Linked DNA regions of Saccharomyces cerevisiae S288C. Changing the gene in region 2 together with the main gene of any one other region gives a genetic interaction. Each region holds a gene or a part of one and is shown on either strand. Other genes may lie near its edges. The genes, in order: SDH2 and YFR057W.

Evidence for each region.
Region 1: mutations in YFR057W (region 2) and SDH2 together harm fitness more than expected from each alone (negative genetic interaction), as found in Saccharomyces cerevisiae (2 studies listed by BioGRID).

Annotation. Positions count from the first base shown.
Region 1 is NC_001144.5:49,867-57,335, forward strand, and holds SDH2 (succinate dehydrogenase iron-sulfur protein subunit SDH2), read right to left. Parts: upstream 4,066-7,469; coding exon 3,265-4,065; downstream 1-3,264. Other genes in the region: FPS1 (Fps1p), read left to right, coding at 72-2,081; ATG10 (E2-like conjugating enzyme), read right to left, coding at 2,221-2,724; membrane morphogenesis protein VPS13, read right to left, coding at 4,345-7,469. UniProt on the Saccharomyces cerevisiae protein: Subunit of succinate dehydrogenase (SDH) that is involved in complex II of the mitochondrial electron transport chain and is responsible for transferring electrons from succinate to ubiquinone (coenzyme Q). SDH1 and SDH2 form the catalytic dimer.
Region 2 is NC_001138.5:265,274-270,136, forward strand, and holds YFR057W (uncharacterized protein), read left to right. Parts: upstream 1-3,787; coding exon 3,788-4,243; downstream 4,244-4,863.

The DNA.
Region 1 (7,469 bases), on a different chromosome or scaffold from region 2:
TAAGCGTCGGTTGTTCTTCTTTATTATTTTACCAAGTACGCTCGAGGGTACATTCTAATGCATTAAAAGACATGAGTAATCCTCAAAAAGCTCTAAACGACTTTCTGTCCAGTGAATCTGTTCATACACATGATAGTTCTAGGAAACAATCTAATAAGCAGTCATCCGACGAAGGACGCTCTTCATCACAACCTTCACATCATCACTCTGGTGGTACTAACAACAATAATAACAATAATAATAATAATAATAACAGTAACAACAACAACAACGGCAACGATGGGGGAAATGATGACGACTATGATTATGAAATGCAAGATTATAGACCTTCTCCGCAAAGTGCGCGGCCTACTCCCACGTATGTTCCACAATATTCTGTAGAAAGTGGGACTGCTTTCCCGATTCAAGAGGTTATTCCTAGCGCATACATTAACACACAAGATATAAACCATAAAGATAACGGTCCGCCGAGTGCAAGCAGTAATAGAGCATTCAGGCCTAGAGGGCAGACCACAGTGTCGGCCAACGTGCTTAACATTGAAGATTTTTACAAAAATGCAGACGATGCGCATACCATCCCGGAGTCACATTTATCGAGAAGGAGAAGTAGGTCGAGGGCTACGAGTAATGCTGGGCACAGTGCCAATACAGGCGCCACGAATGGCAGGACTACTGGTGCCCAAACTAATATGGAAAGCAATGAATCACCACGTAACGTCCCCATTATGGTGAAGCCAAAGACATTATACCAGAACCCTCAAACACCTACAGTCTTGCCCTCCACATACCATCCAATTAATAAATGGTCTTCCGTCAAAAACACTTATTTGAAGGAATTTTTAGCCGAGTTTATGGGAACAATGGTTATGATTATTTTCGGTAGTGCTGTTGTTTGTCAGGTCAATGTTGCTGGGAAAATACAGCAGGACAATTTCAACGTGGCTTTGGATAACCTTAACGTTACCGGGTCTTCTGCAGAAACGATAGACGCTATGAAGAGTTTAACATCCTTGGTTTCATCCGTTGCGGGCGGTACCTTTGATGATGTGGCATTGGGCTGGGCTGCTGCCGTGGTGATGGGCTATTTCTGCGCTGGTGGTAGTGCCATCTCAGGTGCTCATTTGAATCCGTCTATTACATTAGCCAATTTGGTGTATAGAGGTTTTCCCCTGAAGAAAGTTCCTTATTACTTTGCTGGACAATTGATCGGTGCCTTCACAGGCGCTTTGATCTTGTTTATTTGGTACAAAAGGGTGTTACAAGAGGCATATAGCGATTGGTGGATGAATGAAAGTGTTGCGGGAATGTTTTGCGTTTTTCCAAAGCCTTATCTAAGTTCAGGACGGCAATTTTTTTCCGAATTTTTATGTGGAGCTATGTTACAAGCAGGAACATTTGCGCTGACCGATCCTTATACGTGTTTGTCCTCTGATGTTTTCCCATTGATGATGTTTATTTTGATTTTCATTATCAATGCTTCCATGGCTTATCAGACAGGTACAGCAATGAATTTGGCTCGTGATCTGGGCCCACGTCTTGCACTATATGCAGTTGGATTTGATCATAAAATGCTTTGGGTGCATCATCATCATTTCTTTTGGGTTCCCATGGTAGGCCCATTTATTGGTGCGTTAATGGGGGGGTTGGTTTACGATGTCTGTATTTATCAGGGTCATGAATCTCCAGTCAACTGGTCTTTACCAGTTTATAAGGAAATGATTATGAGAGCCTGGTTTAGAAGGCCTGGTTGGAAGAAGAGAAATAGAGCAAGAAGAACATCGGACCTGAGTGACTTCTCATACAATAACGATGATGATGAGGAATTTGGAGAAAGAATGGCTCTTCAAAAGACAAAGACCAAGTCATCTATTTCAGACAACGAAAATGAAGCAGGAGAAAAGAAAGTGCAATTTAAATCTGTTCAGCGCGGCAAAAGAACGTTTGGTGGTATACCAACAATTCTTGAAGAAGAAGATTCCATTGAAACTGCTTCGCTAGGTGCGACGACGACTGATTCTATTGGGTTATCCGACACATCATCAGAAGATTCGCATTATGGTAATGCTAAGAAGGTAACATGAGAAAACAGACAAGAAAAAGAAACAAATAATATAGACTGATAGAAAAAAATACTGCTTACTACCGCCGGTATAATATATATATATATATATATTTACATAGATGATTGCATAGTGTTTTAAAAAGCTTTCCTAGGTTAAGCTATGAATCTTCATAACCTAACCAACTAAATATGAAAATACTGACCCATCGTCTTAAGTAAGTTGACATGAACTCAGCCTGGTCACCTACTATACATGATGTATCGCATGGATGGAAAGAATACCAAACGCTACCTTCCAGGTTAATGATAGTATCCAAACCTAGTTGGAATTTGCCTTGAACATCAAGCAGCGATTCGATATCAGTTGGGAGCATCAATTTGGTCATTGGAATACCATCTATGCTTTTCTCCTCCCATATTCGCAAAAGTAGTAAGGGCTCGTTATATACTTTTGAATATGTAAGATATAATTCTATATGATTTAGTAATTTATTTTCTATACGCTCAGTATTTTTCTGCAGTTGTCGAGTAGGTATTAAACGCAAAAGAAGTCCATCCTTTTCATCATTCAAATGGACATCTTGGCAAAGGGCCCAGTTATGGAAAATCTGGGAGTCATACAACGATTGCAGTTGGCTATGCCACTCCTGGTAAGGAATCATCAAGTCTGATAATTCTGTTTTTTAGCCCTTTTTTTTTTTTTTTCATGGTGTTCTCTTCTCATTGCTTTTCAATTTTAAGTTCGTTACCTTTCATATAGAGTTTCTTAACAGAAATTTCACAACGAAAATATAATTAACTACAGGCATGTAAATATAAAAACAGTCCTTTAATAATAAACCTTAAGCATTACGCGTGTATTAATATAATAAATAGTTATAAATTGAATAAATAGGGGAGAGAAGCCAAAAGGCCCTTCAAAAACAAAGATATAAATTCATCCTTAAAAACAACAATACCTGAAGATACTAGAACACCTTGTCGCCTATGATGGACATATATACAGACCGGGTCATAGCATTGCCAATGATAAATAAATAATAGTCATAGAGAGTAAACATAAACGCCTAACGTATAGGAATGTGTGAGAATGGTGAGTTTCGTCCTTGAAAATAATAATAATAATAGTTGGTGCTTTTATTAGTGCCAAAATCATTTGAGAGGCTTCTGAGTTCTTCGGGGCTAGCTGTTTTTCTGATAGTCTAGGCAAATGCCAAAGATTTCTTAATTTCAGCAATAGCCAAACCAGGATTCAAGCCCTTTGGACAAGTTCTAGTACAGTTCATGATGGTGTGACATCTGTACAATGACATGGAGTTGTTTAGCATGGCCTTTCTTGTCTTTGTAGCTTGGTCTCTAGAGTCAATTAGCCAACGGTAGGCTTGCATTAGCACGGCAGGGCCCAAATACTGTTCTTGGTTCCACCAGTACGATGGACATGAAGTAGAGCAGCATGCACACAGAATACATTCGTAAAGACCATCCAGTTTCTTACGATCTTCAATACTTTGTAGCACTTCCGTTCCATCCTTTGGAAACGATGATCTCTGTAAGTAAGGTTGGATAGATTTGTATTGTTGGTAGAAGTTAGTTAAATCAGGTACCAAATCTTTGACAATAAACATGTGGGGTAATGGATAGATCTTGAGTTGTTTGGATTCGTTCTGGTCGATCTTACATATACAAGCTAGCGTGTTTCTACCGCCAATGTTCATGGCACATGAACCGCAGATACCTTCTCTACATGATCTTCTAAAAGTTAGGGTAGAATCCTGTTCGTCTTTGATCTTTAACAGCGCATCAAGTACCATGGGCCCACAGTCATTCAGATCCACTTGATATGACTGTAAATGAGGTTTAGCACTTGGCTCGTCTGGATTCCATCTGTAAACTTTAAAAGTTTTCAATCTGGGGGTATGCGTAGCTGCAGCTGTTGTGGCAGTAGCCATACCCTTCTTCGTCACCAAACAAAAGGCCTTCCTTCTCAATAGCACGTTCAACATCCCTATAAATATGTATACTCCAGTATTTCAAGAAAGTATAGCTCAACTATATTCCTTTCAATCCCTTCCTTTAGCCTAACATTTTTTGGCATTCTCATAGAAAGTCATTAATCCCCTTATATAAGTTTGCCCTTTTTACACCGGAGCTAATTGGGCCAATGCGAGGCCGCCTTTTGCGCGCTGCGGATATTTCTAAGGCATGGTCGTGCGGAGCTACAATAATACGATTGAATTATAGCTACATAGTGTACAAAAGCGGGTATATACTTTCATATGTGATCATAGGATAGCTTCACAGTACTTATTGTATTCTCTAACAGCAATGGCGATGTTCCTGTACAAGGACCGACGTTCTTCAGGATCGCTGATGGGAATGAAGTATTCGGATTGAGACTTGAGTTTAATTTGAAGACCGGATCTTTCCAATGTAATTCCCTGGATGGAAGGATATCCTGTGCTCCACATAAGCTCTTGGGTGGCCATTTGCACCTCAGCAATGTGCTGCATGGACACAATTACTGCTAGTTCTTTGCCTGGCAATATAACGTGCGACAGGTATTCATCATTCATAAATACTCCTCCATTCACGGTCTTGAGCCAGTATTGTCCTTGGGCCTCACGTAGATCATAAGGCTTGATGATTTGATCATGGTCCACGTACCTTGGTAGACGCACTCTGCAACCCTTTTGCATGTCAAGCACAGTGGTGGTACTTTTCACGCCTTGACTTAAGTTACTTGTAAGATCTAAGAATCCAATGGCTGTCTTAGTTGGCAGCCCAACGATACCTTTACCAAGGCCTTTGAGGAAACCAGCGGCGCCTTCCTTTTGCATGGCCTTGTATGGGTCCAGTGCAATTCCGCTCAACCCGCTTCCCAGTGTGCTGGCAAAGGATTGCGCTGAGTTTGCCAAGGCATTCCTGTTGTTTTTATTTATTCTTTGTTGTAATCTCCTGACCCTTTGGAATTCCAGATCTTGTGTAACTGACAGGCCCTTGGCCATCGACCCCGTAAACTTGGACATACTATCAGAGAGGCCAAAGACTGTTTTCTTTGCAAAACTTAGTCCACCTTTAGCCAGATGTATACCAATTTCTTGAGGCCTATCATTCATCATGTAACCTTGATATGGTTCATAGAATAAGTCCCAGACACCGGAACTAATTGTGTTGAAAAGACCTACAGGATTACCAAAACAATCTGCTGATCCTAAAATTTTGTGGATCTGATACACGAACTGGGTCGTATAGTGTCTCTCAATATGGTCCATCAGAATGGGCAATGGGACTCTTACATTATCCATGAACAAAGAATTAACTTTAACCGGCGCCTCATTTATATTACCTAATGTCATAGCAAACATATGGACATAGTACAATGATGACGAAAATGACTCCTCGGTCTCTTCAGCCAATCCTGGACTAATTTCATCGGAGCGTATAAAGGACAGATGTAAGACGGTGGGCTGAATATGGAAGATCTCGAAATATATATCACCCGCCGTTTTTAATTCAGAAACATCAGGTAACTGGATTTCTTCATCGTACTTATAATCTCTTGAATCCATGATCCATGGGGATCCTGGGAATTTTATGAAGTCCATCATAGCATACAGCATGTCTTCATCTAATTGTATGGAAAATTCCTGGATTAATAACGTAACATGTTTAAAGTATGGGACAGCCTGTAAGGAATCGTTGACTTTAGAAATAGAACCTGATATCACTGGATGATTTTCAATTTCCTTTTCTGTGTAGGGGATTTCTGTTGGATATAGAATATTTGAGTAGTTTCCTGAAAATAATTGATTATCTATTTGCATCCATTTCATTTTCCAACTGAAAGTCTGGTATGCTTTAGATTCATTGTATCTTAATTCGATCCCTCTCATGTTAATATATAGAAGTTCCTGTAAACGACCATTGATTAATGAGATACCAACTCCTTTGAACGAAACAACTATCTGTGTATTAACCTTCTCATCCTCATCCTTTTGCACAAAGCCATCAGTCACTGAACTATTTACTGAAACTGAAGACGTGGTAGTTGCAGAGGCAGTTTTCAATTTGTATAACCCAACATTGGCCTTATAGTTAACAATAACTAAGGCCTGCATATCGTCGTCAGCAACAACATGTAATCCAACAATGGGGGCTGGTTTATCCTTTGACCTTTTATCCAGGCGTAACGGTGGCAATTCGCCAATCTCAGCCAACCGAACTTCCCTTGTACGTGTACCTGATTCTAACACCAGATATTTCTCCTTAGCTGTAGGAAAATCCCATGCGTATGGCATAATACTTTTCGAGGGAATCCTGTAAAAGATAGGTTTGAAACTACGGCTTGAGGACTCGTTAGACTGGTCATCCTTGTATGGATCACTAACTTTACGAGGATCTCTTTGGTAAAATATAAAGTCATGGTCGCTGAAATTTCTTATGGAAAATGGCCATCTGTCACCACCGTCCTTGATTCTTATGAATATTGTTGCTTTGTCCAAAAGAATTTCAATCTTTAAAAGCTTATGGCGTGAATTTTTCAAAACTTTCAAATATGTTACACCGACATTTTTGATAAAGAATGGTTGTGACCAATTGGAGTCTCCGCCTAAGAATTTCAGCACTAATTGCTTGTCGACGATGTTTCTCATCCTGTATAAAGGCTTAGTGATGTTCGATTCTATTTGCTGGACATCCATAGACCCTGTCTCGCAAACTTCAATAGGGATATCTAAAGTATTGCTTATAATATACCTAGGTGCAATCTCAATAACTTTACTTAGCAAGTACTTCCCTTTACCTTCGCTAATGTTGATGCCTAAATTTGATTCTTGTTCCTTATTTTTTATGCGAACAGATGCATCAAATGATTGGCCAATAGCGTCAAATGATAATTTGGAACTCCACTCTGATTCCTTGAACCTAATACGAGCTCTGTTACTTTTATCATCTTCTTTATCAAATGAAAACATTTTTGGAATAGTATATCTTTTTTCGTTTTCAAGCAAAATCTTGGATTGTGCAATATTTAAGAGACTACTTTGAATGTAGAGTTCTCTATCGGTAGAGTTCATAATAATATAAGGGGAGTATATCCGAATAACTTTGGACCTTGTACCATCGATGTTTTTATAATCTAGTTTCAACAACAAATTCTGACCTCCAGATAGGGTCAAAGACAACGAATCTTCTGGGTTTAAAGGACTTTTATGTGGTGTATTAACGATGGAGGGCTTTGAAGCAGAAGCCTCATCTTGTAATGGTTGAACAGACATTAGCAGGAAACTATCCAAAGAAATATGATGAACTTCCATACTTTCTCCAGTCTTCAAGAAATCTGTTCTCTTCTCCTCTCTTTTGTCAAAAATAGAGAAGTTAATATCTGCTGGAAGTAAATTTTCAATAG
Region 2 (4,863 bases):
TGGGTCTCGAAGAATTTGAAGATTTAAAAAGGGATTTTGAGTTAGGCTTTGAACGTCTCGCAGAAGAAATTTCTTTGAATCCTTTACAAATCTGATTTTTTTTCCTTTTTTTTTTGGATTTCCAAGCAATGTTGTTTGAGAAATGAATGAAATTTTTGACTATAGCTTGTCTTAGGCAGGCTGGAGTAGACAACCATCTAGTAGCCAATGTTTGCCCAGTTAATATATGGTTCAATTTTCTAGCTGTATCATATTATGGATGATGAAGCAGATAATCTTTCTTTTTTCTGTATGTCTGATTGTAATAAAGAGGCTTACCATATTGTGAATGCATTTCAATGACACTGCATAATGAAGTCATTGTATTTAGAAAAGTAATAATTTTGTATTGTATAAAGATAGAAAAAACGTATATCGTACTTATTCAGCGGAAATGATTCTGCTTTATCTACTTGCGTTCCTGAATATAATATTTGTGAACCAGGCTTGAGCTTGACACTACAGATTTTTTAGTTCGATTTCATTCAGTAGAGAAAGGCATATCAATATGACATGTGATCTCACTCCGCGGCTAAATGCTAGCAATAAAAAGAATACCGTAATAGAGATGCAGCAAAATAACCACTGGTGTTTAAGAAATAATATGATTACGTCAGTAACCGAAGAGCCCGTACGCACTCTGCTACCATAGACTATGTATATTGTTACCTATTGTAAATAGCTATGGTTACTCTAAGTACGTATGGTGCTATGCATCTCGGTGAACGGATGCAATTATGAAAGTGTAGGTCAGAACATCATCGGTGGTTTTGTCGTGTAAAAAAGGTTATAAGGAAAATTATACTCACATGATTTTATTCATCATCGTCTGTGTATCGCTTCAATTAACATTTTGAAAAAGAGATTACTTTATATGACGTTATGTATATCTTTCAACTTAAATAACCTTAGCTGGCAAAATAAAGAATAAGATAAGGGCCAAGAAGAACGCTAATACTCGTTTTTTTTCAACTACAAAACAACTAGTTGGATAATTTTGAAACAACAAAGTAGAAGTTGTACATATATTTTTGCGCATATGGCTCTGAAATATCGTATTTTTCAAAAGCCCGATACAAAGCCGTCAGCAATACCCATAGTTAAAGATTCCTTGATAACCTATAGCTTCCGTAGACAACAACACAAATTTACCACCTACTTTTAACTCACCCATGTTTTTCAGTTTATCAATGAATCTAATAAACGTGGCTTACGTAACAGCTCCGCATGGACTTGAATTTACTCCTAGCGAGCCTAGTGTTTTAATTGCTTGCATACAATCTTCATCGGAAACTAAACAGGAAATAGATGGCCCCTTTCTGTAGTAGAAGAAATGCTGTTGCTGAAATCCTCGGACAGTTCAACTCATCCATGATTGTTCTAGAGGTTCCTAGATCAGATGAAGCCTTTTGTAACACCAATGACTTATTGACAGTGTAAGCGGTATCTGGTTCAACCGAGAAGACTTTCGTATTCGATTTATGCGACCTGTAATATGTTATCACTCCTTGAGCAAAAGAATCAGCCCCACAAGGGACAAATATTACCGCAGGATCGAATGGTATTTCGCTACACAAGGTAGTGTAACCATAAGAAATCCAGTTAGGAATTTCATCATAACCTATGAATGAAAAATCTTGAATAAGTTGATTTTTTTGTCGGATCGCTACTACAAAACTCTAAAGAACTTTTTATTGCATAATCATAGTTACCTTTAATTTTGATAACTTCTGCTCCCTTTTCTGATCTGATGTTCTCACGCTCTGTTCTAGAACATTCCATGGAGTAAATATTGTAGACTTTAAGCCTAGGATTTTTGCCATGTATGCAACTGCTCTACCATCATTACCATCTGTAACAGCCGCTAGCATCAAAGACGGGTGTTGGAATTTGACAATTTGCTTCAATGTATCCAAGGAAGTTTTAGGTAATGGCAGGCTAAATCTTCCAATCAAACAGCAAAATACACCTCAAGACGCCCCAAGAATTTTGAATGAAGGCGAGCTGAATCCCGAACTTTGTTCTTTAATGTACAATTTAATACCAAAATGATTATCCAACTTGATTAGCTTCGATGACTCATACAGATCCATACCAATATCAACTTCACGGATAACTTTTTCAACTCTTTTAAATTCTTCAACATCATTTTTCGATCAAACTGCGTCAGGTTTTACATATAGATCAAGCGTTGTCGGTTTATACTACGATGTCATTTACGATCTGCTGCCAACAGAAGAAACATTACGCAGTACCTTGGAAAAATCTAGGCAATTTATAGACATGAATCTCCTATCGTTCTTAAAACAATGTATTTCCTGTCGTTGTCTCGATTCTCTTTTTTGCTATTCTGAAGGACAGGTCCATTTATCATCCAGAATTCTAATCCCGAATTTAAGATATCGTAACAGTAACAACATCATATCCAAGCACCGAAGATTCATTGCTCTATATTCCTTGTCTTCGAATAAGGAAGATACCGCGAAGAGACTCTTTAGGAGTCGGGCTTGACTCCCTGCCAAAGCAGCTATTCCTGTATAACACGCGATATTTTATCTCCTTGTCGTCATGTGAAAGTCAAACAGCGCACGTTTGTTTGATGAAGCAGCAACTCTCCTCTTACTGCTTTTGCAGAATTTTGTGAGAAGCTCTCTTCTCTTGGAACTAACCTAGCCATATGGCTTTCTGCCCTCTTTCCGTCAACATTACAAGATAAAGATATCGGTATAATTTAAAGATTCGACCTTTACGCCCTACATGGCTAAAATTACAATGCCAAAATTATCATGAATTCACTTTGTTGACCCGGAATTACAATACAATGCTTCTAAAAAGAGATTTCTTTTAAATTTGTCAAGGGAAGTCATTTATCTCCACACAAACGCACACCGAAATATATATATATATTTAAATTTCCTCATTCTTTGTTGACAGGTTGATTTGTAACTAGAAATCAAATAATCGGGATGCGCAATACCCTGTAGTAGTCGATTCAAAAACTGATTAAAAAATCACTGACATTTAGCATAAGCGACTGAAAAAATGTACTGATTTCTTCTCGAGTCATATATACTATTACATGAGTTCGAGTATGGTGTTGTTTTCTTTAGAATGTCTTATCAAGACCGACAATTCATACAGGTCGAGATATGTAAAGTCTACATGCCGAGCTAGGATGAGAAAAAAAGTATACAAATTGCAGGCAAATAAACACACCAAAAGATACTAAAAAAATCTTTTAAAGTTTTGGTTAGTTATTGGGGATCATCATGCATTTAACGACAACAGAGAAAAGAAAAACAAAAAAAAACAATACAATGTAAAAAGCAGTACTATGTAGGAATAAATCCTGCCTCAATTGCAGAAAAAAAAAGGTATGCGTAATCTAAATAAGATACTATGTATTGATATTTCATATCACTAACTTCTCTCAGATCAAATATGATTTAAAGGAGCGATTTCTGGACTGTACAAAAAAAAGAAATAGACTACTTACATCCTATGAAGGTCAGAGAATAAAACGCTTTTCCGTTAAAAAGATCCACCATATGGAAGAAAAATACGAGAGTTAAAATGCTATTTAAAAGTGCTAAAGGAATCCCCAGAGACCTCAGCTGAGATAAGTAATATCGTTGATGAATTACAAGGGAACAATGAGCAGAGGGAAAATGGACAGATCCTTTCGCATTCCTACTTGTTTGATGAGTTCAAATGTGAAATAGTAGCAACAAAAGGTCATAAATCTTCAATGATATTTGGACCTACTAGTGTCTATAGTAAGTGCTCGGCCAAGTCAAGCGGTATCATTAAAGACACCGCCAAGCTTCCAATATCACGAGTAAGGATCAAAGTTATGTTAGAGATAACTGTGAGTTTTTTATTTTTTGATCGATTTCCAAGATCATTCCTCAATCATAATCTATATGATTCAATATGTCCTTTCTTTGCGTGGCAATATACCTCATATTATCTTTCTATTTACAGGCAGTCCTTTCTATTTCATTTCTTACAAAAGGATTTTAGCAACGACTTCGTCTCAGAAGAGTTAATATATGCACTAGTTGCACTAGGCGCAAAAAATTCCTTTGACAATAGCCTTTCAAAGCATACATATGAATATTACAACCACTCAAAGAGAAATTTACTGGAAGATTCGACAAATAAAAATTCAGCTTTTTCAAGTGCAAGCGTAACAAAGCCATAATGCCTCCTATATTTAGCCTTTTTTGATATAACTGTCGGAGAGTTAACAAGCGGCTGGACTACTTTCTGGAATAGCGTTCGGAATGTGTTTTACTTAAGGATTCGAACGTGATCCTAACGAGTGGATGCACAGTTCAGAGTTATCTAACAATATTCGTGAAGGATATGTCAAAATTGGATACGCTTATGTTTATGATATATCATTTATATTAATATATAGTATGCTCACATTTTCTTATTGCTGAATAGTTCTTTTTTACGTTTAGCTGAGTTTAACGGTGATTATTAGGTGGATTTTATATTAGTCTACATAAAAATAAGTGGTGGATATCTACATAAAATTGTCATAACGCGTAAACTAAAAATTATTTTTATGATCATTGAGGATCTATAATCAACTATAGACATTAATGTATGGATAATCATGAGGATTATAGGTAAATGGCAAGGGTAAAAACCAGTGAGGCCATTTCCGTGTGTAGTGATCCGAACTCAGTTACTATTGATGGAAATGAGGACTGGGTCATGGGGCGCAATGGAGTGAAGTAATATATACTTTAGCATACGTGTGCGTACGCCATATCAATATGCTAGTGAGGTGGTGTGGGTGTGGTGTGTGGG